7 linked regions of the Nothobranchius furzeri genome follow. The protein of the gene in region 1 interacts with the protein of each later gene in a biochemical or structural test. Links are inferred from orthologs where the notes say so. Each region holds a gene or a part of one and is shown in the gene's direction. Other genes may lie near its edges. The genes, in order: esr1, proto-oncogene tyrosine-protein kinase Src, prmt2, ncoa6, cdkn1a, ccnd1 and mta1.

What was found.
Region 2: the proteins of esr1 (region 1) and proto-oncogene tyrosine-protein kinase Src form a complex in vitro, tested with the Homo sapiens proteins (3 studies listed by BioGRID). The link is inferred for Nothobranchius furzeri from reciprocal best matches to the Homo sapiens genes ESR1 and SRC.
Region 3: the proteins of esr1 (region 1) and prmt2 form a complex in vitro, tested with the Homo sapiens proteins (2 studies listed by BioGRID and IntAct). The link is inferred for Nothobranchius furzeri from reciprocal best matches to the Homo sapiens genes ESR1 and PRMT2.
Region 4: the proteins of esr1 (region 1) and ncoa6 form a complex in vitro, tested with the Homo sapiens proteins (4 studies listed by BioGRID). The link is inferred for Nothobranchius furzeri from reciprocal best matches to the Homo sapiens genes ESR1 and NCOA6.
Region 5: the proteins of esr1 (region 1) and cdkn1a form a complex in vitro, tested with the Homo sapiens proteins (2 studies listed by BioGRID). The link is inferred for Nothobranchius furzeri from reciprocal best matches to the Homo sapiens genes ESR1 and CDKN1A.
Region 6: the proteins of esr1 (region 1) and ccnd1 form a complex in vitro, tested with the Homo sapiens proteins (2 studies listed by BioGRID). The link is inferred for Nothobranchius furzeri from reciprocal best matches to the Homo sapiens genes ESR1 and CCND1.
Region 7: the proteins of esr1 (region 1) and mta1 form a complex in vitro, tested with the Homo sapiens proteins (4 studies listed by BioGRID). The link is inferred for Nothobranchius furzeri from reciprocal best matches to the Homo sapiens genes ESR1 and MTA1.

Annotation. Positions count from the first base shown.
Region 1 is NC_091742.1:2,858,013-2,861,791, reverse strand, and holds part of esr1 (estrogen receptor), read left to right. Parts: intron 1-717; coding exon 718-856; intron 857-1,825; coding exon 1,826-1,959; intron 1,960-2,582; coding exon 2,583-2,766; intron 2,767-3,779.
Region 2 is NC_091743.1:58,657,080-58,660,858, forward strand, and holds part of proto-oncogene tyrosine-protein kinase Src, read left to right. Parts: intron 1-2,384; coding exon 2,385-2,484; intron 2,485-3,212; coding exon 3,213-3,230; intron 3,231-3,779. UniProt on the Homo sapiens protein: Non-receptor protein tyrosine kinase which is activated following engagement of many different classes of cellular receptors including immune response receptors, integrins and other adhesion receptors, receptor protein tyrosine kinases, G protein-coupled receptors as well as cytokine receptors.
Region 3 is NC_091754.1:17,486,505-17,491,046, forward strand, and holds the start of prmt2 (protein arginine N-methyltransferase 2), read left to right. Parts: upstream 1-1,711; 5' UTR 1,712-1,761; coding exon 1,762-1,848; exon of another isoform or gene 1,849-1,881; intron 1,882-1,913; coding exon 1,914-2,105; intron 2,106-3,509; coding exon 3,510-3,671; intron 3,672-4,542. UniProt on the Homo sapiens protein: Arginine methyltransferase that methylates the guanidino nitrogens of arginyl residues in proteins such as STAT3, FBL, histone H4. Acts as a coactivator (with NCOA2) of the androgen receptor (AR)-mediated transactivation.
Region 4 is NC_091755.1:60,747,425-60,751,982, forward strand, and holds the start of ncoa6 (nuclear receptor coactivator 6), read left to right. Parts: upstream 1-1,639; 5' UTR 1,640-1,768; intron 1,769-3,171; 5' UTR 3,172-3,251; coding exon 3,252-3,495; intron 3,496-3,638; coding exon 3,639-3,794; intron 3,795-3,886; coding exon 3,887-4,009; intron 4,010-4,558. Other genes in the region: glutathione hydrolase 7, read left to right, coding at 169-341. UniProt on the Homo sapiens protein: Nuclear receptor coactivator that directly binds nuclear receptors and stimulates the transcriptional activities in a hormone-dependent fashion. Coactivates expression in an agonist- and AF2-dependent manner.
Region 5 is NC_091743.1:46,701,173-46,704,267, reverse strand, and holds cdkn1a (cyclin-dependent kinase inhibitor 1), read left to right. Parts: upstream 1-1,192; 5' UTR 1,193-1,323; coding exon 1,324-1,326; intron 1,327-1,460; coding exon 1,461-1,911; intron 1,912-1,993; coding exon 1,994-2,049; 3' UTR 2,050-2,360; downstream 2,361-3,095. UniProt on the Homo sapiens protein: Plays an important role in controlling cell cycle progression and DNA damage-induced G2 arrest. Involved in p53/TP53 mediated inhibition of cellular proliferation in response to DNA damage.
Region 6 is NC_091749.1:21,584,051-21,587,829, forward strand, and holds part of ccnd1 (G1/S-specific cyclin-D1), read left to right. Parts: intron 1-1,233; coding exon 1,234-1,382; intron 1,383-1,461; coding exon 1,462-1,617; 3' UTR 1,618-3,779. UniProt on the Homo sapiens protein: Regulatory component of the cyclin D1-CDK4 (DC) complex that phosphorylates and inhibits members of the retinoblastoma (RB) protein family including RB1 and regulates the cell-cycle during G(1)/S transition.
Region 7 is NC_091758.1:21,770,708-21,775,238, reverse strand, and holds the start of mta1 (metastasis-associated protein MTA1), read left to right. Parts: upstream 1-1,626; 5' UTR 1,627-1,738; coding exon 1,739-1,766; intron 1,767-4,531. UniProt on the Homo sapiens protein: Transcriptional coregulator which can act as both a transcriptional corepressor and coactivator. Acts as a component of the histone deacetylase NuRD complex which participates in the remodeling of chromatin.

The DNA of each region.
Region 1 (3,779 bases):
TCAGTTTTTGTCAGGTTTGAATGTCCGTGCACAGATTTATTATGTATCAGGTCTTTGCTCTCTGTTGTGTTTTTATTTTATGTCTTTTGCCACCATAACCTTTAGGGTAACAGCGTGTGCACGCGCGCGCGCGTGCGCACGCACACACACACACACACACACACACACACACACACACACACACACACACACACACACACACACACACACACACACACACACTCACACACACACACACACACACACACACACGTAGAGCCATTAAGGTGAAGGTAGTTACAGTCATCACCTTTGAGAGGATTGTTTAGTCAATCTGCTGGCACCCCATAGAGCCTAAATGCATTAGAAGGTGTGCTACACACACACACACGCACACACACACACACACACACACACACACACACACACACACACACACACACACACACACACACACACACACACACACGTTCACCTGACTGAAGGAGTAAATCCTTATTTTGAGGCATTACGACCTCGTGCGTCACTAAAAGCCCAAAGATACACAGCTGTAATTGCGAGGGGCCCTAAACGGGCTCCAGAGGGGACAAAAGAAATAAATAGGCTGTGATTACAAATGAATGAAAACAGCTGGGAACCAGTGATAAGACTCTTTATGTTAAAGGTGATCAGAAAAAAAAACATTTAAAACCGAATAGCTCATGAAGATCGTGTGTGTGTGTGTGTGTGTGTTTCCAGGCTTTCTGCAGCTGTCCCTCCATGACCAGGTTCTGCTGCTGGAGAGCTCCTGGCTGGAGGTTCTTATGATTGGGCTAATTTGGAGGTCCATCCACTGCCCTGGAAAGCTCATCTTTGCACAGGACCTCATACTGGACAGGTTCATCCTCGCTGACGAACACATTTACCCTTCTTCTTCTTTTTTCCCCTCTTCCATGTCAGATCTTAAAAGTGATCCATCAGCATTGTAGATTTATCATGTCACACCTTGCCAGCCTTTTGTGCCATCCCAACACATCTGGCACAGAGTGAAAGACTAATTACATGTTCCCCACAGAGAGGAGAGCAGCCACTAGCTAACCAGAAGTCCCCCCCCCCCCCACACACACACACTCTGATCATTACAAGGCTGAGCTGGAAACCAGGATGGGGATTTAATCGAAGCCTCAATGCAAAGAATGATGGGAGACGGGGAGCAGCAGAGAGAAATAGAGAGGGAGGTGACTGGAAACGAAACTGAGGAGCTAAATGATGAAAAGAAAAGAAAAGATCAGAAAGTGGAGATGCAGAGAGACAGGAGGCATGGGTGTTTTCTGCTTCGCAGGCACAGCTTGTTCCTTTCGTTTCTCCTCATGTTCAGAGTAAACAGGCTGGTCAAACCGCAGCATCAACCTGTAGGAGAAAGGGAGAGGAGAGGCGACAGCGACAGGGGTGAGGGAGACATGCAGACAGACAGGGCTTTTACACTCTGATGGTTCCATCTGATCAAAAGTGTTTTACAGAGTATTATCTCTGAAACCTGGCCTCTGAATGAGTGTCCTCGTCAATTGGACATGATGACTAAAATGCTGCAGGTCAGCGTGGATGCATTCCCTTACCTCTGAGCTCTCCAAGTTTATCTTGCACTGAAGCAACTGGATGTTATCCATCTTCCCCTCACAAATGGAGCACGGCAGTGATTCAGTGCATTAGTGGATAGTTTCACAACTGAAATGCATCAGCTTCTTCTTCCCACTGCAGACCAGACCTTGGGATCTGTTTTCCTCAAATCACCGCTTACGTTTCTGACTTACAACCTTGATTTATGTGCTTTTCAAAAACAAAACAAAATGTAAGCTCTGCATTCCAGGAACGAGGGCGACTGCGTCGAGGGTATGACCGAGATCTTTGACATGCTGCTGGCCACTGCTTCCCGCTTCCGCATGCTCAAACTCAAACCGGAGGAATTTGTCTGCCTTAAAGCGATCATTCTGCTCAACTCTGGTGAGGCAAACCTCTTCCCTCCAGTGCATGAAAACTCTGCCTGCAGGCATCAGGGACATTTGATAGAAAATAACAAAACAAAAAGCTCTAAAGTTTCACAGTTTGGGTCGTATGCGTGCTACGTCACAGGTTTCCATCTCCGCTCCAGAGAGTAAATATTGAACAGAGTCAAAATCCGCCCACAAGAGGTGTAGCTCTCAGAGCTGCTCAGGCACATTAGACGAACAGAGTGTTCTGGAAAGGCCTGTACCGTCAATATGCTCAACAGCCGTTGCCACAGCAACATGGGACAGCTGAGGAGGGTGTGTTTGTTTGTCATGGCGATGGAAATATTCTATAAGGGAAGCAAAAGGACTAAAATGCCAGAAGGATGAGATGAGACGCTCAGGATCATGATGAACTTTTGATTACTTCGTGATTGCAAACCTGCATCCTAAATATCTGCTTCTATTTACATGCATGAGTCACATTTAATAACTTCTAATAAAAGCTTTAGTGTTGGAGTTTTAAATTAATCTGAACGAAGTTGAATCAGTTTTAATTGTTGCTGCTGATTTACTCGCCTTTGTTTTTGCAGAAATTAGAGGACAAAGCTACAAACTGAACATATTTTTTCTCGTCAGGCGCCTTTTCTTTTTGCACTGGAACAATGGAGCCCCTTCACGACAGCGCAGCGGTGCAGAGCATGCTGGACACCATCACTGATGCGCTTATACATCACATCAGCCAATCAGGCTTCTCGGTTCGGGAGCAGGCGAGGCGGCAGGCCCAGCTGCTCCTACTGCTTTCCCACATCAGGCACATGAGGTAAGGAAATGGTCTGATGCTGTTTTGTTTTTAGCAAATTTAGAATTGAACATTTTAGAGGATGAGTCGGATGAGTCCAAACGATAACGTAGATAACTCAAAAAGAAAACAACACAGAAAAAAAATGTTTGTTAGGGGACATATGATTCATCCTTTTGTGCTGCCATGTTGGTCTCTAATGCTTCTATAAAAACTCCAAATGTGAAAGATTTTGTCCATCTGTTGTCTGTCAGTGTTTGGTTTTAGGAATTATGTGCCTAAAACAAGCTGTTTTTTAAAAATCTGTTTGTGATGTCACAAGCAGGGAAATTAGAAAAAAATCTTTGACGTGCAAGAGAGAGAGAGCTGATGCTGAAGGAGCAGCGGCTCAACTTTGAACCCCCTCCTGGACATCTGAGCTTCTACGCTCATAGCAGCCTGAGTGGGTGATGGGTGGGCGTGGCCAGCTCCAGCTTGTGTTCTTACGGTGACAGAGCCCTGAAACGGCTCATTTTGGAAGGTTCTGAAAACTGAAATCACTTCATGTGAGAGTGATTTAGTGTAAATTACTTAATAAACATGTTAGGTATCAACAATAGAACTATTAAAACTTAAGAAATAAGGTCCCCTTTAATAAGCATTATAAATGAAGCTGGCTTTGATGCTTTTGAAGCACCAGAAAGACCTGATTTGTTCCATCTGTTGCAGACATAGGTAACATGCACGCTCCATCCCATGACATAAATATGCTCATGAAATTCTAATTGAATGTTGAATAAAAAAGGCTTTTAAAACTTCATTAATGTGCATTTAGGCTGAAAACAAAGGGGATATATAAACACGCAATGTTCCAGACTTCCTGTTAATGACCTAAATTAAGTTTATCGTGAATAATTCGTGTGTCACTAACATTTAACTATCAGATTTAAAAATACAAATTCATGAATGTTAGATTCGTTGGAGGTTCATGCCATAAGAGAATGAACCAAATGGGGAAAACCTTATAATGATCTTTAAAGGACGTTAAATTATCA
Region 2 (3,779 bases), on another chromosome or scaffold:
TGACAAGCCTGAAAGATATCAGACTAACGCACATGTAGTTTCCGGGTTTTCGGACTCAAAGTAACTAACTCCCAACATGTTGTGTAAAAACCAGTATTTTTTAGCACATTTTCAGGACCAAAGTGCTTCTACCACATGTTCAGTGTGAGCAGTCAGGTCACATCTGAGCATTGGGTCATACAGTGTGAGAACATGACTCGTGAAGTTTGCTCTGCTAGAACGTTGTACGGTTTGAGGTAGAGCTGAATCCTACGAGTGGAAAAAGTTTCACAGCGTACGCCCGGCTTTAGTTTGAAATCAGTTAAGTGTGGTTGGAAAAAGACTAAACAAAAGCTTCTTGTTTGGAGGGGCAGCCAGGATAAAGCATCTTATCTTTAAAAAATAAGAGAATGGTAGCACAGCTTACATCTTTTGAGTGGTAAAGCAACATCAGTATAAAAATCAGAAATGTGCAAATATTTCTGAAGATATCAAAGTGGAGATTTTTGTTCAAAATGAAGTTTTGCAGATCAGCACAAATACCCCATATCCACTGTTAGTACTGTGAAGGGCAGATGATGAAGGAGACTTGCTGTTCAGCATCTGGGCTTCCTAGAGTCATTATCAGCATGAACTCTTGTTCACCAAAGAATTTCAAGAGTCGAATGTAAGGCCGTTTGTCCTACAGCAGGATCTTGGCTTAGACTCATACATTCACTGGGACAATCACCCTAAACACTGGGACACATTTACAACAGAGGGGCTGTTGAAGCGAAGGATCAAGGGGTTCTAATGGGTCAAAGTCTAGATCTCAGCCTAATTGAAATGCTGTGGTAGGACATAAAGAGAGGCATGCCTACAAAGAGTGAGGAGACTTCAGCTAACTGAGGTTTACCTCTTTAGGCCAGTATTCCTCCTTTAATGATGTGGAAGACTGATTGTTTTATTGAATTTTACTTTGTAACTTTTTAATTAAAGGTGCAACTTGTAAGAACTCTACAGTGTATTAATCATAAAACAGTCTAATGTCTCAATCATGTTGGAAGGAAGATTATACCGAAACTGATTTCATTGTCAGCCAGCTGGGGGGTTGCCAACTTTTCTCCTTATGAAAACAATGAAAGTGGGAAGTGGTTACTGTTTAGTTTGTGAGGTTGCCAGTGCTGCAGTGAGCTAACGCTGCAGCACTGGCATTTTTAATTCAACACCGGCAGGCAAAAAAGCTTCAGAGTTGCTTATAGAACCAAAGCCAGTAAACGGGAGTGACCCAGAAGCTATTTCTTGTACCACGGCATCTTTTTGTTTTACTCTTAATATCGGGTGAGGCCAGGTACAGGCTAATGCTGAGCTAACAATGCTAACGGTAAATTAGAACCAAATAGTCAGCTCTAAAAATATCTCATGTTACTTTTTCAATTACCAACAACTGAATATTACAGTGAAATGTGTGTGTGGAGTGAGTAATGAGTCAGTCGTGGAGATTTACTTCCTTTAATGAGTCATTCAGAACTATAACAACACGCTAACAACAAGACGACAAACAACACTTCCTGTAATGCTGGTGAAATATTATCATAATATGTGTAGTATATGCCCCCTACCGTGAAACACCAGACATGACAATGTATTTATCTACTAATCGACTTACTGTGTATGACTCGTCTTTACTTGTCGTCTAGAATCTTCTGGTGCTGATCCTTAACTGGGTACAGCCACGAAACTCACAGAACGAGAGTGAGAGAGTAATATTTACTGCAGTAACCTGATTTGACCACAAGATATCATTCTCCCAAATTGCACCTTTAAGATGAGTTTGACTCATTCTTTGCCTACGGACTTGATTTCTATTTAAGATCACAAATGTTATGAAGAAAATCAAACTGAGTCAGAGTAACTCACATCTACTCAGAACCATATTTTAAAGCTGTTTCCTCTTCACGCCGTCAAGGTTATTTATTTTTTTTTTTTTTTTTTGCAGTTGCAGCCTAGTGTAATGCAGTGTCCTCTTTTTGTTGATGTTTAAGTTGTCTAGACCAGCCAGATGGTCGGGCTAATGTTGCTCCACGCAGGGAGCAGAACATTTCTTCTACTACCTCCTGTCATGCATTTAATGAGCCAATCAGCTATTGGCTGGGGAGTTTCCAGATTTAGAGAACAAGTTTGTTTAATAAACTCTTAGAAATCTGCACAGAAAATGGAAAATCGTTTATGTGATGTCTCTGTCTGTCAAGGACATTTGGTCAGAACCCTTTCATCTATCAATATGTTTCATTAAACACTGAAAAAGTTCAAAATAAAATGCTTAGCTGAATATTTTTTATGGAAGTTAGGGAGGAACCCTTTCATTTCTTTGTAGCGTCTGTAATTACAGTTAGATGTATGTCTCTGTGTGTGGTTTCTTGCAGAAGGTGTCACTACATTTGTGGCATTGTATGACTATGAGGCACGGACGACGACTGATCTGAGCTTTGCCAAAGGCGAACGGCTGCAGATCATAAACAACACGTAAGAAACATCAGAAGTCACTCCTCTCCTCTCTACCATAGCAATAGATTTGAAAAATCTCGAAATGACCAAATGTCTTGAAAGTTGTGTGGTTTTCTGAAGAGATTATTTGTTTTTTAACCTGATTTTAGGGGATGTAGTGAGACAGTTGACTCAATTTTTGATTTCCATATCAACAATAACGTAAAACAATTGCAAAAATAAGTGACTATTTTTGATATTCCCACTGGGATGTGACTGTAGGCAACAAATTGTGACCTCCATTAGCAATTGAGGGTTCAGCTGCACACTTCGAGGTGTACTGGAGTTAAATAAAAAAATTCTGGTTCAGATGTAATATGCATTTAAAACATAGACCCTCCAGTGTAAGAAACATGTTAAAAACCTGAACTGTGATGCTTTATTTCTTTGTTTTTTGGTGTGTGCTCTTTCTATAATGTCCTGCCATAAGTCTGGGTTCCTGTTCTCCTGGCGCTACACAGAAGGGCTGATTAAACCCAAAACTCCATTTAAACTTTTGATGATTTAGAATTAAGTGCAACTTTCCAGGTCTGTGTGTTTTCATACTGGATGACCTGAAACGGCCCTTCTGTGTAGTCCGGCAGCATCCAGCTGGTCTGCTCTGTCTGCCTGCCTTGTTGTGTCTCCTTGCCGTGTTTTGATGTGTCTGCTGTGTCTGTTATCTCTCCCTTTCTCTTTCCTTTCTCATGCTTCATGGTTTCCTCTAGGAAAAAGTACAGCTTCAGGTCAGTAAAATCTAATGCCATATAAACTCCATGCAACCTTTTGTTCTCTTCCTTTTGCTGATGCATGGATTTATCTATTGAGCTCTTAGTAAAAAAAAAACTGTCAATAAACCCCACATGTAAAATAATTTGGTGTTAAAAGGTCACTTGTTTTTATCTTTTCTTCTTATGTTTTATTTCTCAGCTTCTGAGATTTTCAGCGTGGGAGCTGAGTTTCTTTCTTAAATGTCCTTGCTGAGGTTATTGTGGGTTTGAGTTAAATTACGTTGACACTTTAACCTTTGAGTTAAATACCGAAGGGCAGTTTAAACGCTGTTAACTGAATACGTTGTAGGTTTTCTGGAATAAATAAAAATAACATAAATGTTCTTTTATTGGAACTTAAATCTTTAAAAGTGACTGAAAAAACATGTTTTAATGTTTTTCTGATTATAATGGGTCACTCTGAGTTTAACATGCAGGCTGAACATGAAAATAGCCTCCTCCTTTATCTCCTGCATTAGCTTCTGATAGAAAATAGATGGTGAAACTCTTGTGCAAACTTTGCAT
Region 3 (4,542 bases), on another chromosome or scaffold:
TATATGTAGCACTTTAGTACCAAAGCAAGTTCCTAGTTTGTGAATTGTTTGTTCACTGACAATGGCAATAAACCGATTCTGATTCTGATTCCCAAGCCATTGTAGGAAACAAATATTAGATTTTTCACAATTGAAAATTTAATTTACGAACCAGTTTAGGCAAAGTTGTTTTTTTTTTTCCTTTTATGTACTTTAAATAAAAAAATTCAAACATGTAGAATATGAGAAGAACAAGCAATTCAAGCTGAAAAATAACCAGCTTTTCCCCAACGTCAATAAACTCACAGGGACGTGTGCAAAATGCACTTTTTGCATTTTTAGAGCTGCCATATGACTCTACTACCCCTACACATATCCAAACAAGGATAAAATCTGTGCTTTCACTTGTTGAGTTTGACTTCAGGTGTTATTCGTCTGAAATGAGCTGTTTCAAAAATTCCTTGTGCTTTTCTGTGTTTCTCTTCTATTTCCATGGGTTTTCTGTTCTTATTTTGTAAAGCGAAGCAAAATGTTTTTTCTTCTTTATCTTTTTTTTTTTTTTTTTTTTTTTTGCTGACAGGGCATCACAGTCGCCATCATCAGAGCTTCTGCGGTGTCGTCACTTCTGCTGTTAATCCCGGGCGGTGTGGAACGATGTCGCCCTCTACAGCCCGCACCTTCCCTGCCGATCACCACGTCCCATGAATGATCCAGCGTGTAAACTCCATCACTTTTCATGGCCCAGAGTCCACGTTTACCAATCTCAATCGCTTCGTTTAGGCATCTTCAGTGGATAAACAGCGGAAGTGACGCCGCCAGAATGGCGAATCTCTGCAACGCCGAAACTTTCAGCAGGTAACGTAAAAAAACAAAACTTTGCTACTCTGTGTGCAAGATAAGAACAGAAAAAACTATTTTTCAAAAAATTCTATATTGTGACATCACAAATAAAATTATCATAGAATCCCTTCAACTTCAGATGCTGGATGACCTCCTCCAACGGCAACCAATCAGGGACCAGAAACTGTTTTGCTTAAAGTGAAAGAACGGCTCATTCTAGAAAGTACTTAAAAAGCTGCTCACTTTATGCGAGACTAGTTTTGAGCAAGGAGCTTAATTATATAGTTTTGTATTTACTCTAGAGTAGGCGTGTCCAGTGTGGCTCGGGGGGCATTTACGGCCCTCCAAGCGATTTTGTAAGGCCTCCATTTGAATTTTTAGAATGATGAATTTTGTCTTTCCATGTGGAATGTAACCCACTTTCTAACATGTTTGTGTTGAGATTTTTACTTATTAGCCTATTTTGGGTTCATTTTGAAGAGCACAAATAAGAAAAATTGCCACAAAATAATGCTTGCAATTTTTTATGAAGAAACCTACATTCTTGTGGCCCCCAGTGACTTTAAACAGCCATTTTAGCCCTCGCCTTGAAAAGTTTGGACATCCCTGGTCTAGAGAGTAAAATAAAAACTCGCAGTTCCCCTTTAAATGATCTGCTATCGTTGGTGTGTTCTTGCTGTGTTTAGTTTCAAATTCTATCTTTCAGTTCTTTTTAAAGCACGATATGCTATGTGCGTGTAAACAGTGGTCACGCACGAATTCAGCTATTTCCGACAGACTTGAAGGCAGCACCAAAGCAGGAAGTGCGTGACGCGTTTTACCGCTTGTTTCGCTGTGGTAACAAAGCACGTTTTGGTTATTTTTAAACCCAGATTTGTCAGGTTCAAAATTTGAGACAATTTATAAAACAAAACCACTTCACTCGCCTGAACCCTCTGGAACATGGAGGCGGAGAAAGAGGACGAAGAAGACGCGTCTCCTGAAGAGTTTGTGGCTTTGTCTGATTTCTCAGGAAGTGGCTCCGAGCAGGTTAGAGGCAAACAAACAGCGGTTCAGCCACAGAACACACTCACTTCATCACTTGTGTCCCGCAGCTTAGTTTCAGCTCAGGGGACAAGCTGCTTGTTCACGCCAAACCTTCTGCAGCCTGGTGGTGGGCGGAGGTCCGTGGGGTCATAGGGTATGTCCCTGCCAGCTACCTGCGCCAGGACACAGCTGAGGAGGAAGACACCTCTATAGAAGACCCCTGGCAGGATGAAGAGTACTTTGGGAGCTATGGAACACTGGTCAGAAACATCAAACATTTATCCTATGAAACTTTAGGTCGGTTTGCATGATTAAAGCAACACTTGTGCATTTAGAATGTGTAGAAGCTGCAATATCTTCATAAGTTTAGCCTGAATTTGAGCTCTACACTATATCATGTCAGGTTTTGACTGTAAAGCACACAAAAACTTAAAAAGTACAATACTTGAGAAATAATAGTGAAATGGCACACCCACAGAGAAAATATCCCATCTGTTGTTCCTTAGATGATTATGTCATTCTTAAATTTTATTTATTTAATTTTTTTGCAGAATCTGCTTAGTTTGGGGTTTATTTTTACATCCAGGAATGCTGCTGAAGTTAAAAAAATAAATAAAGTGTTAGTCTCCTGAGGCAGCAGTGTGTGTGGCCTGTTCTCCACCTAAATCCTAATCTCTAACCTCCGTAGAGACTTTACTGATGTTGTCTCAGTAGCATTGAAGCATATGAGTTTGCGGCGGATTCAAAAATACTTTAATGCCATTAAAATAAAAGAAACATTAATACGTGTTTTTGAGTTTTTGACAAAATTCAAGCTTTGTTAATAACAACACCGGAAATCGATAATGAGATTCTGCCACTGTTCTGTTCATTAGAGGAGATTTCTTGTCCTCGTCATTCATGCATGTTATGTGTTCATTTTGTGGGGGCTAGGAATAGATATTTACCTCAACAAATCTTTAATAATTAAGAGGTTATTTGCAGGTTTATTATGGATTTGTTGTGCAGAGATTTCTGCACATAGTCAGAAAGAGTGCAGCACCATTAAAAAGTCACATTAGCCTCCTCTGTTCTTTACGACTGCAGGGACTAGAGGACTGGTCCTGCAGATCTTTTGTATTTCTGAAAATCGTATCGTGACTGTGATTTTCCTCTGCAGAGAAAACAGACCATTAAATGGAATATATTTGCTGGAGTGTTGTGTGCACAGCGTTATGGATTCAAGTCAAAAACTGAAAAAGCGTTTGGAATAGAACAAAGGGGCTTATTACAAATCTTGTTTCCTGCCTCAGAACCATGAACGGCATCAGGAACTGAACAGTTTACAGCACGGTGAGGCTGCTGATGTTTCAGACTTAGTCAAAGTTGTGGATTCTAATTTGCACCTCGGTCAGGTAAAGGATCAATGAGCCAAAGCGACCACGTCAGCATATTCAATAAAGCAACCTAGCTGCCCTTGTGCTCACGTCCACTTATTAATCACCTTCTGCTACATAATTAAAACCTGTTGGGTTTGCTTTCACACCATCAACCACACATGTGTTTTATGTTGCTACTTTTCATCTGTTAGCGGGAGTGATTGGGAGCACGGTTTCTGATGGTTCTGATATATTTTCACCCCTCCATGTCATCATGTTAAATTCAGTTTATCTCTTACGATGCAGAAGCTTCACCTAGAGATGTTGTCGGACAGGAGCCGCACCGAGACGTACCGGCAGGTTGTTCTCCGCAACAGTGCCTCCCTGAAGAACAAGGCGGTGATGGACCTCGGCTGTGGAACCGGCATCATCAGCTTGTTCTGCGCTCAGTTGGCGCAACCGTCAGTGGTAATTGTGACACTGAAATTCAACCATGTCGGCTTAAATGAATGTTCAGTTAGCATTAAAGTATGCAAGTGTCTCCTGAATGATTATTATTCTATGATTCCATATATTCAGAGTAAAGATCTCTTTATATATCATACAAAGTAAAATTTTAACTTGATGCCTTTAAGGTTTTAATTAAAAAAAAGACAAATTGGAAAGAAACAGTCACTAAGTGGTTCAGGTCAACTTTATGTTGAACAGTTTGGTTAGAGCGCCATCTGGTGGACAAACACTATTTCTACAGGACTGAACCCTTTGGTTTGAACAGCTTCGTGTTTCTAAGGTAGCCTGGCCTGCCAGACTCACCCTCTGTCTATTCTACAACATGCCAATGCTTCCCATAAGGAAGGCTGGCCAGGCTATTTAAAGGTGCAGTGGATGTTGTAGGAAACGGACGTTCAAATGAGCTACATTAAAAAAAAACAGGTTCAACCCCTTTTTCTGCAGACCCCCCTGGAGTCATAGAAAATGTTCTAACACCAGACCATACGAATGCCGTCCAACAACGATAAAAGTCTTTTCAACTTGTTGTTGGCACCTTTTCTGCCATTTTTTTAAATAGTGTAACGCATCGTAACCATGTAACATGTGGGAGGTGGAAGAAGTGGTCAGTTACTGATTTGAGGTCGCTGGTTCAAACCCTGCTCCCACCAACCTGTCGTCGTGTCCGTGGGCAAGACACGTCACACTTGTTGCGTACTTGTGTTGATCAGAGAACCCGGTGGCCTAGCTTCTGTCGGGTTGCCCCAGGGCAGCTGTGGCTACAGTGTAGCTCATCACCACCAGTGTTTGAATGTGAGCATAAAGCGCCCTGGAGTCAGTAGATGATTCA
Region 4 (4,558 bases), on another chromosome or scaffold:
GCTGTTGGCAGGAAGGATCTCCAGTAGCGGTCAGTGTTGCAGCGACAAGACAGATAATCTACTGTAGGGGAGAAAATGGGATGTTCTTGAATCCGAACAGATAAATCAAGCAATGCTTCTTGATCGCAGATTGACAACTTCCTTTTTCTTCATTTGGTTTCCCTACAGCTGAGTTTTTGGAAGATGACGTGAAGCTGCTGAAGGCCAAAGGACACACAGTTGAAAGGATGGGTGTCCTTTCGTTGGTGGAAGGCACACGGAGAACCAATGACCTCATCATTGGAGTGAAGGACCCACGTAGTGCTGATGCTTCTGCCCTCACCATTTCCAACACACCTTAGTGCATCCATCACTTTTTCCAGTATTCACTCACATTACAGCAGGGATCAAACTCGTAGGATACTAGTGAAAGAAGAAAAGGTGGAATAAAAATGATCAAACTACTACAGTCATCAAAATCTCACAGCAAACTGCCATTTAAATAAAAATCCACTTAGCTTTCTGTGAGTTCACCTCACATCTGTTTGCTCGAGTCACACGGTACAAGGTTTTCAAAGTAAAAGCCCACCCAGCAGTGGCACTAAAGTTAGCTGCAAATGAAATAATGTAATTGCTGAACTTATGAGAGGAATGTTTGAGAGTATTTTCTCTATCACTGTTTAGTCAGAATTTCAGAGGTAAATTATTGAGCAATAAATGAAATCATAAACCAATAATGTAAAATGTACAAAAAAATGCATAGTGTGCAGTACATGCATTAACAGTCAACTTATTTTTTAATGTTTTTTGTCAATTATTCCAAATATTACCAAGGATGTTGCTAGATGACAAGTGAAGAGACTTGCTTTGTCTTTGTCTAACTGTCCTTCCCTTGCTTGTAGTGTGGCATGTAACTGTGATTATGTTGTCTTGCACAGCTGCTGGAGTTTTACCTTCTTTTTGAGAACATGTTAGGTGATAACATACCCAGACAGAGATGTTTAACAGGAATGTGATTTCCACATCTTGGTTTACTACTTTTACTGAGATGGTTTTATTGATTTTAAAGTATTTCTTATATTGTTACTGTTCTTTTTGCATTCTTAATATAGTTTTAGTGGTTTATTTGCTGCTTTTCTTGAAAATCATTAGAATTATTTGAGAGAGGGTCACCCTTGTTCTCTGAATGGGAATTAAAACAGTTTAATGTAAAATCAATTTTTACATCACTGTTTGACTGTAGATGTTTTTATTCCTAAAATCTATATTCAGCCTGGAACTCTTCGGGATGGGTGTCATGTGTTTTTGGTGCAATTAAGCGGAATAATAGAAGTAAAATCGAACACGTTTTTCTCTCACACTAAATTGATCAAATAGGTTTCTAATCTTAGAGTCTTGTCTTGTGTACTGTTAATGCACACATTTGCACACCTGATGTTTGATTATTTTGTGTTTATAATTGAAGGAAAAATCGGTTTTGTTCAAATTTGTGAAATAAAAATGTTTGCACATACCCACATAAGCAGTGTTCCGCAATTTGTCATCATACTTGCATTTAATACAATTTGAAAAATAGATAAAACAGCTCAGTTTATTCAGGACTATTTAGGAAATAGTCATGAACTTGTTAACCTAAGGAGTGCGTTTACCTTTTGAGCTTTTATTTTGAAAAAGAAAACCGGAAACAACCTTTGTTAGTTAGCTTGCTTATGACATTCATCCTATTTTGTTAGCCTGTCTAGCAAACAGATGTCGACTAGTTGAACGTATTCGTATATGGATATGTTTGGTAAGGTCTTTGTATATTCCTTTCTCCTTGTTTTTATTAACGAAAACTGTTGAAAGGCAAATTAAACCAGCTACGGTTCGCTGCTTGGATTCATTCGCGTCTGGAGACTGACATCTAGCTACATAGCTAACTGATGCTAACAGGATTTTTCGGAAAACCAATAGGAACCACTTTCAATTTCACTCTTTCTGTGTGCTGCTAAAACGTATACATTTGAAATGTAAGTGTTAATTGCACCACGATGAAAATGCACAATTTGGTAAGAAACAGAGTTTACTTGTGGATTTTGTTTGAATGTTAGCTTACTGCGTTAAGGCCCACACTCCTGCAGCGCCGGTGACTGAAACCAGGATGATCATCATTATAAAAATATATTATATTATTACTAACAAGTTTAACTCCCATATCAAGAAATCTCACAACTCTGAAAGTAATGTGACTACCAATCAGAGCACCTCTGCTTAATAAGCTAATCACCGGTCAGTGATGTCACCTCCAGGTGTCTGCTTCATTGAGTTACAAACTCATTTATTTGCTTCTTTTTCTGGTTTGCAAATAGAAATTATGACTTTTTTTGCTTGTCTTTGTTTTACTCGAATCGAATGTTATATAGAATACTCTTCAGCCTCTAGCAACTTACTATAACTGTTGTTTCTTGGCTGTGTTCAGGGTTTCTAAAACAATTAAAGAGCAAGTCACCCCCTACAAGAAACTTATTTCACTCCCTCTTCATGTTTGAAAAATGCAACAAATGCTGTTGCCTAGCAGACCGAGAGGGCGGAGCCACTAACAAATACACACACACACACACACAGGCTCACAACGGCACTGTGACATCATAATGTACCAGTTTACATCATAGCATACCTCTTAGCCAATAGCGGTGGCAGATTTAAATTCAAATGCAGTGCAGAGTTTTTACCTGACAACGGCGCAACATTGACAGTTTTAGGCAGAATATTTCAATTTTAACTAAGATGCACTGAAGTACCAAATTATTGACTACACGTGTCTGCAGCACATTTAGACACACATTTATATAGTTTATCAGCAAAAAAAAAAGTAGATTTGGGGGTGACTTGCTCTTTAAGAACTGTCGAAGGTCTCAATATATTAATGGGAAATTAAAAATATTCTAAGATGAGCTGTTATGTTCCCAAAACTTTCCATTTTAAATGCATTCTACGAAATTGTAGAAAATTGGGAACCCATAGCGTAAGCAGCTTTTTACTTTAAGCTGAAACAGTTTATAGAAAAAGCATAATTTATCAAATAATTATTAAATTAATCAATACCATAGACTTTTCTGGGCAGTACATACATTTGAGATAGGCAAAGTATGGAATAATAGTATTTGATAAGAAAATGCTGTAATCTAAAGTTTGAATAATCTGTAATTACAGCATAAAACGGTTTAGACACCACTCCTAACAAGGAAGGGAGGATAGCTGCTGAACATTCCTCATCCCAGAAGACTGCGTACATGGAGCCTGATGGTGAATCGGACAGAGACTCTGGTGTTGGAGAAGATTCTGGAGAAGACGCAGATAGCTCTGAGAAATGCAACGTAACAGAAGAAGTTGGACCCATGGAGCAAGAAGACACTAGAGAAAATGGAGAGGAGGACTTCACAGTCTTTGTTGCCTTTCAAGGAAACATGGATGATGAGAACTTCACTCAAAAACTAGAAACTATCCTCAATGGGATACCTGATGTTCTTAATTTGGGTTTGTGTTTATTTTTATTCAATTTGTTTTGTTACTTTGTTTTATTTGAGCTCATTTACGTGTATTTGATTCAAAAATATATATCTTGCACTGACCTGTTAAGCATTTTCCAACCAACACTAACTAAATACACTTTATTTTAGGCCCAGAACGGCTGCAGCCTAAACATGTTGAGCCGTGGAACAGTGTCCGTGTCACATTCAACATTCCCCGGGATGCTGCTGAGCGACTCCGGTTGTTGGCCCAAAACAACCAGCAGCAGCTCAGAGACCTGGGTATTCTCTCTGTGCAAATAGAAGGTAATAGCTCAGTCCAAAAAGAATTCATGCAGATCTCCTCCTTTTGTCTTCATAAAAATTCATTTATGCAATGATTTAATCTTGGTGTTCAGGAGAGGGAGCAATTAATGTGGCTGTGGGACCAAACAGAGGACAAGAAGTCAGAGTGAATGGACCAATTGGTGCACCTGGTCAGATGAGAATGGATGGTGGCTTTCCAGGTCAGCCTGGCCCAGGTAAGTTTTTCCAAAAGTTTAACAAAAAAATTAACAGTACTCTAGTCTACTAGTAGAGATTTTGGCTTTACTGTCCAAACGTGATCACACATGAATGCTGTCGAAAGCAGCAGCAGCTTCAGCGCAGAGCAAGTTGATGAGAAGACGAAGACATAATTTATACTGGCCTGGTTTAGGTTTAAGGAGTCTGATGCTGAGCAGAAAAACATCCTCTGTAAAATATTCTGGGCGACAGTGAAGTCATATCAACGCTTGTTAACGCTAACGCTAATTCCCTTATATGCCATTAGCTTCTAACATATTATTAACACGCAGGTTTCCAAACTTTCATCACAGTAAGCTTGTATTTTATTTTAAAATTTCTTCATCTTTATTTGGTTCATGTGAATTTTTGTGTTGCATTGTTTCTAACAATGTTTAACATAAATATTACTTGATATTTTGTATTTTTTTAATTAGTTTTGAACATTAAATGTTATTTAAATGGTATTCTATATTTCTCCTTTTGACATAAACAGAAGAAAAAAAATATTGCGATATAATTTTAGG
Region 5 (3,095 bases), on another chromosome or scaffold:
TTGACATAAATGGATCTTTGCGATCTCATTTTTGCACATCCAGGAAATCCATAAACTCTTGTTTGGTGGTTTTAGTTTTTTTTACATGTCTGTGTGTGTGTGTGTGTGTGTGTGTGTGTGTGTGTGTGTGAGAGAGAGAGAGAGAGAGAGAGAGAGTGGGTGAGTCCAAACTGTGACATCCCAGTTTGACACGAGTTCCAGACTCACGTGGAGCAGAGTTGTAGCTGAACTGGGCTGGGTCCAACTCAGTCATGCATGACTAGCTCTCCCGCCAAAGCTTGAGTCACTCCTCCCAGAACCACCCTGCCCAGTAAAAGAAACGCCCTCCCCCTTCCTCTGTGGGACCAGGGCAGCGCAGGGATCCAGCAGGGATCCTTCAAACCCTTTTATTAACCTAATGATCCACCCACAATTGGGGAGCTTTATTCTGAGCCCTGTGCTGTGGGTGGGAGCGTTGAACACTGCATACATAGTCTTAGTGGTCATTAGATGTGTCCAACAAACCCATTTTTTAGTAAACTCTGATACAGACTGTAGTCAACTGACTTTACTACGTAGATAATTTTGATCAAAATGCAAAGGGCCCTTCTTTTTCTCATGAACAAACCAAACTGAACTCCATGATAGGAGCCAGATCAAGCTAAAATAGAGACATATTTCACTCTCATATTTTATGAATCAGAAAAAAGGGTTTGTGCTTGTGTTTGTATGAAAATAAAAATCAGAATCATATCAGATTATAACAGATGACTTGTTTCATTGACACATTTTTATTTATAACACTAATCAGTATTTTACTGAAACGCATCTTCACGTCAAATTGAAGCAGATTTTTCCAGATTCCGTTTGCAGATAACTGGAACAGCTTCTGTAAAATAAGCTCGTGTCCTCTTAATCACTGATAACGTATTTTATTCATCTCCCAATCTCATCTGCTGCACCGTAACTGGACGGGCAGGGACTGTTTTCCTTGAATGCTTCCTTCCTTCTTGGATGGTCTGAATGACCTGTTTCCCAGGTCAGAGTCAGAAAACAGTCACATGTTTCCCTCAGTTTCAACGTAAACTGAAGATGAATTATTTCTCTGGTGTTTGCCTCCGAGCTGTCTGTAGTCGGAGTGACAGTGCCACCTTGTGGTTTATCTCTCTTACACCAAACACCACAACAGCAGAGGACTTGCCCTTACATGCCTGTGAGAGATTATGCCCAGACATGTACCAGAGAGGAGGGCTAGTGACTCACTGCTGCTGCTGCACTGCATTATAAAAGCCCGTCAGCTCACAGAAGCAGTCTAGTTCACTGAGGAGCTGTTAGGCTAGAACCATGGTGAGTCTGACTAAACTTTGTTTAAATCACTGGTTTGAAAATATTAAAAACATTTAGTTTGTGTACTTTTTAGACTGTGGACAAAATAGATTGTGGCTTTTGAAACTAATCAGTTTTCCTGTTTTTACCTACAGTGCAGAGGGATGGCTACACTTCACAAGCGAGCCCTCAGTACTCTAAGAAGGAACGGTCCCCCTCGGCGGAGCCTGTTTGGCCCAGTGGACCGAGAACAGCTCCAGATGGAGTACCGGACTGCCCTGCGTAAAGATCTGGAGGAGGCTTCCCAACGCTGGGGGTTCGACTTCTTCTCCGACAAACCTCTGGAGAGCGGTGATTTCCAGTGGGAGATTGTCCCAGGTACCAGGGTGCCACTGCCCTACAGATCCAGCGTCATCTGTGCAGGACATGCAGAGGGTCAAAGGTCAGCAGGTGCAACCAAAAGAGGAAGGGTGGTGGTACCAGAGAGGGAGAAAGAGAACTTCCCCCAAACTCTAGAGAAATGTTCTCTGAGTCTGGAGAACATGGAGACAACATCAGAGACGGAAGACAAATCAGGAATGAAGAGGAAACAGACAAACATTACAGGTATGTTTAGATATTTTTTATATCAAATTAGAAACACTCATCTTTTCTCATAAGCTAAGTATCCTCTTCTTTAACCCAACAGATTTCTATCAGGCTAAAAGAAGAGTTGTCTGGCTGCCGAGGAAATCCGGGGAGTGATATTTCCTTTGAAGGTGCCAAAACTCCCAAGAGAACCAGACAAAGAACCAGCACCTCCTTCAGGAATCAGTTGTTCCACACCGAGCAGCGGGAGTGCTGAATCATCCAACAAAAAAAAAACAAAAAAAAGAAAAAAAAAACCCAGAAGGCACCAGGCTAATTAAGATGCTGCATGTGTGAGGGGTCTGGTGTTTTCTGTCCACGCTGCAGTTAAGAAGGTGACATTTGAGCAGAGAAGATTAACAGTAATCTCTGGAATCAGTGGATTTATACTCATTTGGACTGAGAGCTCGCCAAATTGCTGACTGACATTTGTTACGGCGCGTCACACAGCTCTTAACCCTCTCGGTCTCGTTTTGATAAAAGGACGAACAACTAAGTCCTTCAGGGGTGCTTCTGAGTTAAAAAATGCTCATGAGATACTTGTGTGGAGTAACCAGGTAGGTAGGTTTTAACTGTTGCAGATCTGCGATGCCTGCCTCCAGAGGGTTAAAACACAATCACATCTCAGTTTGGTGGGACTTCTGCCTGTTTGAGGATGAAAAGCAGACGTGCGAACAAATATCAGGACTCAGATTAATACGTTTCTGTGGCAAAGCCGCAGGAAAGCTAAAAACAGGAGAGCTTTGTCTATTTTGTTCAAATCTATAATTGTTTTTCTACGTCTTTTTATAGGAGTTTTTTTTTTAAGTGCATTATATTTTACATCGGGGGTTCCCAATCCTGGCCCTGGAGGGCTGGTATCCAGCAGGTTTTGTGGTTTTTCTGCTCCAACAGACTTGATTCAGTGGTTGAAACGCCTGTGCAGCAGCTCATCAGGCTCTGCAGAAGCCTGTTAATGAGCTGCTGATTGAAATCAGGTGTGTTGAAACAGAATTCAAACTAAAACATGCAGGATACCGGCCCTCCAGGACCAGGATTGGGGACCTCTGCTTTACGTAGTCATCGGAAAACGGCTTATGGAGTTGTGATATATCCTTAAACATGTGGTTGCATTGCTTAGACTATAATCAGCAGAAGTGCCAACTTTTTCCATCTCATCCACT
Region 6 (3,779 bases), on another chromosome or scaffold:
TTGTTGTTCCAGTATTGGTCATTTTGGGTTAGTCCAGACATCCAGAAACAAGATTCAGGGTAGATGGCTAGGCTAATATCTCCCGCTACCACCACAGACATATTGGACCTGAAAAATATTTTTTTTTCTACCTCAGAGATAAGTACTTGTAGTTGTTCGCTACCATTTTAGTCTGGACTTTACGTAGCATTACTATGATAAATATATAGTCACCACTTAAAATCATTCTAGTTATTAATTTAGCCGTGTTGAATTCAATTTAATTACGTTAACAACTTTGTTCAAATGACAATGCCAGTCTTCAGTTCTCACTGCCTCCTGGCTGCGGTCTGTGTAGCTAGCTAAAAACAGTATGAACAGCTGAGGCTCTGTCCTCTGAGCACATACTTAGTATTTTTGATAGAATCAAATTCATGACATTTCTATCATTCACATATTTTTGTTTCTGCTGTTGGATGATAGAACTAGTATGAATTACTGAGTGGAGCGCGGGTCCGGTAGACTACCTGCTATCCGTCGCTATCCCGAAGCTCTCGTCATGTTCGCTCGTCTCAACGCATGAGTGAAAAAAACAAAAGCTCTCCGCTGCTCCTTTGTCATTAAACAGAGAGAAGGAGAAAAACCTCTCGCTCCATAAAATGCGATAAAGCAATACTCGTGAACCGAGTCGCTACTTTTGGCCCTTCTTTAGAGAAATAAATCTAGGGGTGAAAAATCTGTAAATCTAGCCAAAAAGACAGTTGGAAAAACAGAAGTGGAACTGCAACTGAAGGGGAATATGCAATCTGATTGGTTGGAAGCGTCATGTGGGGCGCTGTGCCAGCTAGATGCAGAAATTAAAGGAGAAGCGCTACAGCCCAATATTGCCCAAAATGTTTAATCTGTTTGTTTATCCACAAGGAGGGAAAATTTTTTTCCAGGACAACTCAAAAATTTCCAGGACATTTTGCAATTCCACCCATTTTCCATGTGTTTTCCATGACTGGAAAATTGGACTATCATTTTCCAGGTTTTCCAGGACGCGTGGGAACCCTGACACACACACACACACCACTACTCTGCTCCCTGTTCTGATTGCACAGATTGGTTATTGCGTTCGGTGCTAATTAAACACCAACCAGGTGTGGGGTGTGAGTCGTTACACACACCTCAGCTCATCCTGACAGAAACAAAACAGATGTGGTCTTCAGCCTGAGCGACAGCCCTTTTACTTTGTATTCTGCTCTCCTGCAGACGTGAACTTCATAGCCAGCCCTCCGTCGATGGTGGCAGCCGGCAGCGTGGTGGCAGCCGTTCAGGGCCTCTACCTGAAGAACCAGGATGCCGCCCTGTCCTCTCAGAACCTCACCAACTTCTTGTCCCAGGTCATCCGCAGCGACCCGGTACGTTTGAATTCGTTGACGTGACGGTTGTTGTGGCTGGCGTGAGGACGTTGACCCGATGCTGACCCTCTGTTTGCAGGACTGCTTGCGGTCGTGTCAGGAGCAGATCGAGTCCCTGCTGGAGTCCAGCCTGCGACAGGCTCAGCAGCACAGCGGCACAACGGAAAACAAACATGTGGAGGAGGAGGTGGACCCGTCCTCCACGCCCACAGACGTGAGAGACATCAACATCTGAGAATGGTGGACATCTGTCCTACAGTGAACTCGACGATCAAGAGGAAGTAGTTGTGGGAGGGTGCTGATGGGGGTAGGGGGACTTGCTTGGTCTCACCCTATACCCCTCCTCAATCCTTCTCCAACTTCCTAGTGGGCTGAAGGTCAAGAATGTCTCCTGCTAGCCTGCTGCCAGATCAGATCGGACACACCACAGCGTTCCTTCCCTCCAGGGGACTGCAGCTGAGACTACAGGGACGTCCTGGGGAGGACATGATGACCTGCAAGGGCTGGGCTCTTCCCTCACATGTTAAACTTGGAATCTTTAAGTCAGCGCACCTGAAGGTCCTCATCCTCAAGCAGATACTATGTTGTCTTTTCTATCTAAAGTGATTTAGTCTGTCCACGTCTTTGTCCCGTCTCCGGCTTGCTCGTGTTTAGTCACTTTATTTAGACTTTAGTCTGGTAGGTCTTCTGTTCCCAGCCAGAGGGGCCATGAGCTGCTTAAACCCTCTGATGCTGGTCCGACTCAAAAAAGCACTTTGGTCAGCAACGCTGACTCAGCTAAATGCATCCAGAACATTCCCAACACACAACTGCCAACCAGACGGCCTCCGAGCGACGGAGCCGTCCGAGTTTCAGCTGAGCAACTAAAGCCTCTCCAGGTTCCTCCAGAGAAGCCCCTCAGTCCAGATCCTGATCAGGACCACCCCCCCACCCTGCTCTGCCAGAACCTGGTGTCCCTTTAGACAAGCTGGTGGGTTCTGGGAAACCGATAAAGCTGACTCGAGGAGAGATGAGACGAGACTTTGCACAAACATGAACATGTGGGCGTGTTCCATAGGAACCAGTCCAGGTTCACGACACCCCCCCTCCCTGGTGGGGGGTCCCGGTGCTGTCAGGGCTCCTGAGGGGGGTGAGCGGGAGCTGCGGGTAGAGGGTGTACAGGAAGGAGTGAGGCACTCCGGGTTTTCTGCTGCTATAGAAACGAAACGACAGCTTCTGTCAAAGGAAACAAAATAAAGCAGACAAAAGAATTGAAACGACGCTTTTTCCTGTTTGCTGCTATCTGATCTGATTATTTTGTTTTGGGAGTATGCGTGTCTATAAACTGCAATTGTAGGCTTGAATTTTCTCATAGAAAATTGTTATTGACATCCTCATCTGTTGTCTTGTGTAGGTGATCAGCTGTTGTGTGTAATAGGGCTGCTCAATTAATCAAATTTTAATCACGATTACGATCTGAGTTTTGAACGATTATAAAAACAAAACAAGCCGATTATTTGCTCCTCCCACTTGCGCTGCCCTGAGTTGCAAATGAAGCGCTCCTCCCACAGTGTTGCCAACTTGGCGACTTTGACGCTATTTCTAGCAGCTTTTCAGACCCCCTTCTTGACTTTTTAAATCCTAAAAGTACCTAGCGAACACCTCAGAAACATCTCTGGTAACCCTTAGCTTCTTTCTGGATAACTGTCGTTGACATTTCCTGCAGGTTAGCTAAACACTCCGCCTGCGCTCCGGACCGTTCTTCAGGACATTAGGAAAGGGAATGATGCAGTGACGTGTCAGTCGCTAAAGAAACAGCTCTCAGAGCCGGCTCCCTGTTGGATTAACCAGAGTGAGTGACACACACACCGCACCTGTGGACTTCTGAGCAGCTAAAAACAGCTAAATGTGCGCGTGCGGCATGCTAAACAGACGTGCAGCTTGCCCCCTGTGAGACCGGGTTGGGGGGTGCAGCTGTGGTTGAGACAATTATTACATTAACTGATGGACCTGTAAATAAATAGTTTATAAATAAGGTAGAAATAAGTTCCTCACGCTGATAACTAATAACTAATCTCCCTGAGGACACGGTGCTAGTGCACTCTCCTACAGCACCTTGACATGACTAAATAAATGTTATGCAACATTTTGTGAACATCAATTTATTTGCATTTATTTGTTATAAATGCCACTGTATAATTCTTGCTGTCAGTATTTGCAAGATATTGGTATTTGGGTCTGTACTGGTTAGACTTAAATGAGTTAAACCAAGGTCTATAGCCCTTGGGTCATAGACTATGAGCTATAAGTATATTGGTCTTTTTATACTGGGAATCAGGAGTTATTTTAGTGGTCATCTTGTTTCTTATTTATTTTGTCCTGATTGTGCCCTGAGCAATTTTATGACTGAATAAAAAC
Region 7 (4,531 bases), on another chromosome or scaffold:
TTTTCTTCAATTAAGCCCATACCGGCAGACATAAAAACACAGAATATTACATGGAGCCGTGGAAACTCAAAATGATCAAATTGAAGATTATTGTGTAAAACCCTCCCATGCTGCATGTCTCTTGTTTTTTGCCATAAAAGAGCTCTAGGATTTAAAACAGGATTCTTCACATGCTGCACACTTAACGAGTGCACACTGCAACTACACACGATTGGCCCGCAACAGTCATGTGACTGCAGACTGTAGTCCCTTGTGTTAGGCCACAGTAATTGAAGCTTCCATATGGTATAGATCATATGTAGCGTTCACCACAGCATTCCTCCTGCACTGAGGCTCTACACTCACATCCAGATTTAAAAACAAAGCTGTGGAAAAACCATGCTGCATTCTCTCATCACAGAGTGTCACTCATATTTAACACTTGCTAATGATTTCTCTGACAGCAGAAGAATTTCTCTTGCAGGGTGTTTGAGGCAATTTATGTATTATTTATACATAAGTAGCAACATGCTGCAAGGATCCAAGAAGAGTATGTGTTTGTGTTGGGAAAATAACAAAAGCAGAGCAAATGTATAATTTATTTTGTATGGTGGATTATGCTACAGTACATTTCTCCTTTACCATTTCAACAAAAGACAACATAAACGCAAACATTTAACTATTGAGTCATGGAAATCCCTGGATATTTTTTATAATGTTAAAACCTTGCATGTTCCAAATTATCATTCCATGAGTCACTTGGCATGTTTTTGCCTCGATAGAACACTGTGTACTTTATTTTGCGCATTGACGTCTAGGCAACAGCAGTATGTGTCCTTATTTTGGTTCAGTCACTGATACAATTCACTTGTACGTGTAAATTTTTGCTAATAAAATGATCTGTACAGATTGTTCTGCTAGTGTTGTTAAGGCCGGTAAACACCTTCAGAATAAGATGAGAGTTAAACTGCTTCTTTTAAAATAATACACATATTTGGAAATGAATTAAATGAGCGAATAAACCCATGATACATTTCTATATACAATCCCCATGAACTCCTTGTACAGTTCATAAACATAGTGAATGACGAATGAAATGAATGAAAAGCTTTATTTGTCCCAGGGAAGGGAAATTAGTGGGTCAACTCCTTGAGTTTTGGGGCTTATTTAAAATATATTGCATTCAGTTTGCATTTTTATAGCAAAATAATTAAATTGTTGATTTCACTGAGCACAGCAGTGTAGACGATAAAATAATTATTAATTACACCCCTTCTAACGTCAAGCGTGACCCAGAGGTCACGTAAAGGGGTTTACTCTCAAATCTCGCGATATTTCAGTTGATGAGGGAGAACAAAAAATTGGGACAAAGTTACAAAAACAGGCGAGTTTACTTTATCTTAATAACTATTCTAACTACCAGATAACTACTTTAACTATTAACAAAAACACGACTAAACCGAAAGGCGGTGGGCTACTGCGGTGACTGTGACGCATATTGAGATATATATTAAGAAATAATGGCGTAGTTAGCCACTGACGATGTTATAAAGGTAATAAGTAGTGAGATTAACGCGCCCTTTGTTATCCGTGCCGATAAGTTGGGTTTCCTGAAAAGGTGTACTGTCTCTTTAAGGTCTCTCGGGCAGTCTGTTTCGTATTGATCAATCCACCATTTTCCAACACACAGCTCCGGCAGCGGGAGAGAGCAGAGAGCCACCCCTCTACCTGGAGAGGAAGCCCGGGACCGGGGGCAGTCATGGCAGCCAACATGTACCGGGTTGGAGGTAAGCTTTGGGGCGTTTGCGTTTCGGAGCCGTGTGGCGTTTTTACTCGGCGGACTCGCCATTACCCACGGAAGCTCGTTATGAGCGTGGCTCGTCTTTTAAAAACATTTCCGTAAGCTGGGAGAGCTTTGTGCTTCTCGCAGATGATGGTGAGGAGGAGGAGGATGGTGATGAAGAGCAGCGAGCGGTTCTCTTAAACATTTGCTTCTTTTGCTGTTTTCCCCCTTAATGAACCCAGAGAGCCATCTCGGTGTTCTGGCACACCTGAACCCTCCATGACGGTTTAGTTTATTTTAAATAACATGTCACGGGTTTTCTGAAAGTTTCACCTAACTATTGTTCTTTCTGCTGCCTCCTGTAAGGAACATCGTGAGTACTTTACTGGAACCGCATAGGCATCAATGCAAGGAGGCAGCCGGGACAAAAACTTTACACTACATTTAGTTTTAACACTTTAAATGTAGAAATGACCAACAAAATATTCCAGATTAAGCTTTTTGCACATCCAGGGAGTCTCTTAATACCTAATGAAGATTCTTGAGTCCCACTCAGGTAAGACAGGTGTAAGATAGTCACGTGGCAGTGTCCAATCGTGATCTTTTTGTTTTTATTTATTTATTTTCCACATACTTTAGTGCCCAGATTAGTGTCCACTCCTGTTTGGAATGATGTTGTATAGTGAGCGTTTCTGTGTTGTTGTACATTACCACATATTTACTCTGACAACTGTTCTGTAATTCAGGGATGCTGTGACTGTACTTGGCTCGGATACAGCATCAGAAATAGCCCAAAGTGAACGTCATATATCAAATTAAAGGAGGCCTACCTGCGTGAGAACAGGATTAGTCCAGAGAGGGGTAGAAAGTTAACAATTCAGTCACCAAATGTCACTTTGTTCAGTTTCTTCATGCCACTCAGTTTTATTGATGCGCTAGGTTTTTCAAACCAGTTGTGCAAAGATTATTTTCCTTTGCTGTTTGTTTATTAGCTGAAAATGCACATTTTGGAACACATGTTACTTCACTTTACTCCAGCAAGTGATATATATCAAATGGCACTAAACCACTCACATTTACGTCTTAAGTTGTTATTTTAGTAAAATATTGTTGAGTCTGTCTAGTAAACCTAGTAATAATTGAATTTGGCCAAACTGAACTGAAACCACAACAATGAACTCTTATTAATTGCTGAGTAAACACACTTTGGGATTATTTTTCTTCTGTTGTAATAATCTAGATTAAAAAAAGGCCAGAAATGAGGCCTGATAACAAGGATCCTTTCAGAGCAGCATCACAACAAAGAGCTGCCCTTGAAGAGATGGCTGCAATTTTACAAGATAATAAGAAGCATCCTTGGGCTTTGATGTCTTTTTATTTTTATTTTTTTAACTGTGCTGGCCACAAACCACTCATCTGCTGCCTGTATCACCTTTTTCCTTGTGTCCCCATCCAAAAAATATGTTGAAGAAGTGTGTCAGACCACCAAGTTCAGACCTAGTTCAGTAAATTGCTGAGTAAATGGGAAGAGGAACTGTACGTGGTGGTTTGATTTTATTATTATAAATTGTAGAAATCCAGAATTTTTATTGGAGGGATTTAGTCAGTGGGCATGCATCCTGAAATGAATGTGATTGGCTAATAAAGGACCATGCTTAATAATTGTTTGTTATACAGAAGTTGTGTCAAGCTTAAGAATAGGGTTTGTTTAATCTACATAACAGCTGAGGTAAAATACACACACACACACACACACACACACACACACACACACACACACACACACACACACACACACACGCAGCTGCAGCAGTAGGTTTTCTGTGACGTTTTGGGAAATCTCACAAATCATATTTTATTCCATCAACTGCAGCCCTGTCCAAACTTTTTTCCCTGAGGTTTAATGTAAAACCGCTATCTTCAACTCCGTGCAAACCACTCGAGCTGCAACAGAAAATCTGCACCTGTTCTTAAAACGCATTTCATTTTAAAATATTCTTTTATTTCCTGCATCCGATTCTGATCTGCTTGAATAACGTCGTTATGAGAAAAAACACCCAGAGTTTTGAGAGGCGGTGCAGCATCACATCTGATAAACAGCAGCTAACATGTAAAATGTCTGTTTTTCTTGATCAGAGTAAAAGTAGATTTCCTTTTTGATTCTGTCCTTTTTGTTGTAAAATGTATTTAAATTATTTGTGTCTACATGTTGAGAAATTAACTGTGAGAATATTAAGTGCCAAAACCTGAAATTAGTGTCTTAAAAGCCTTTTCGTGCAAGATTACAGAATTAGCTCTAATCTCTCGTTCCCAGCATTTGTGGAGCAGGAGTCCATTATTAAGCCCCTGTTTCTACTGGAAGCTGTGGTGACTCTGCTAGTTGGTATTTTTCAGAACTGCAACAAGCCAATCAGCAAAATGTTCCCCTAAAATGCATCCACCCACTGGTCACTTTATTAGGTACAGCTTACTGGAGGCAGATGCCTTCAGAAATGAATTCTACAAGATTATAGATGCATTTCTCAGAGTCCATGTTGGTCCAAATTAACATGACTGCATCACATAGCAACATACACGATGAATCTCCCATTCCACCACATCTCTAAGTTCTGGGGCCTCATTTATCAGGCTTGCTTACGCACAAAACGGGGTCGGAAAACTGCGTAAGCAACTTTCCACGCAAACTTTGGGATTCATGAAAGAAAACGTAGTAGAAAAATGTGCGCAACTTTAAGTTGACTAAGGACCTGGCTTACGTACATTTTGGAC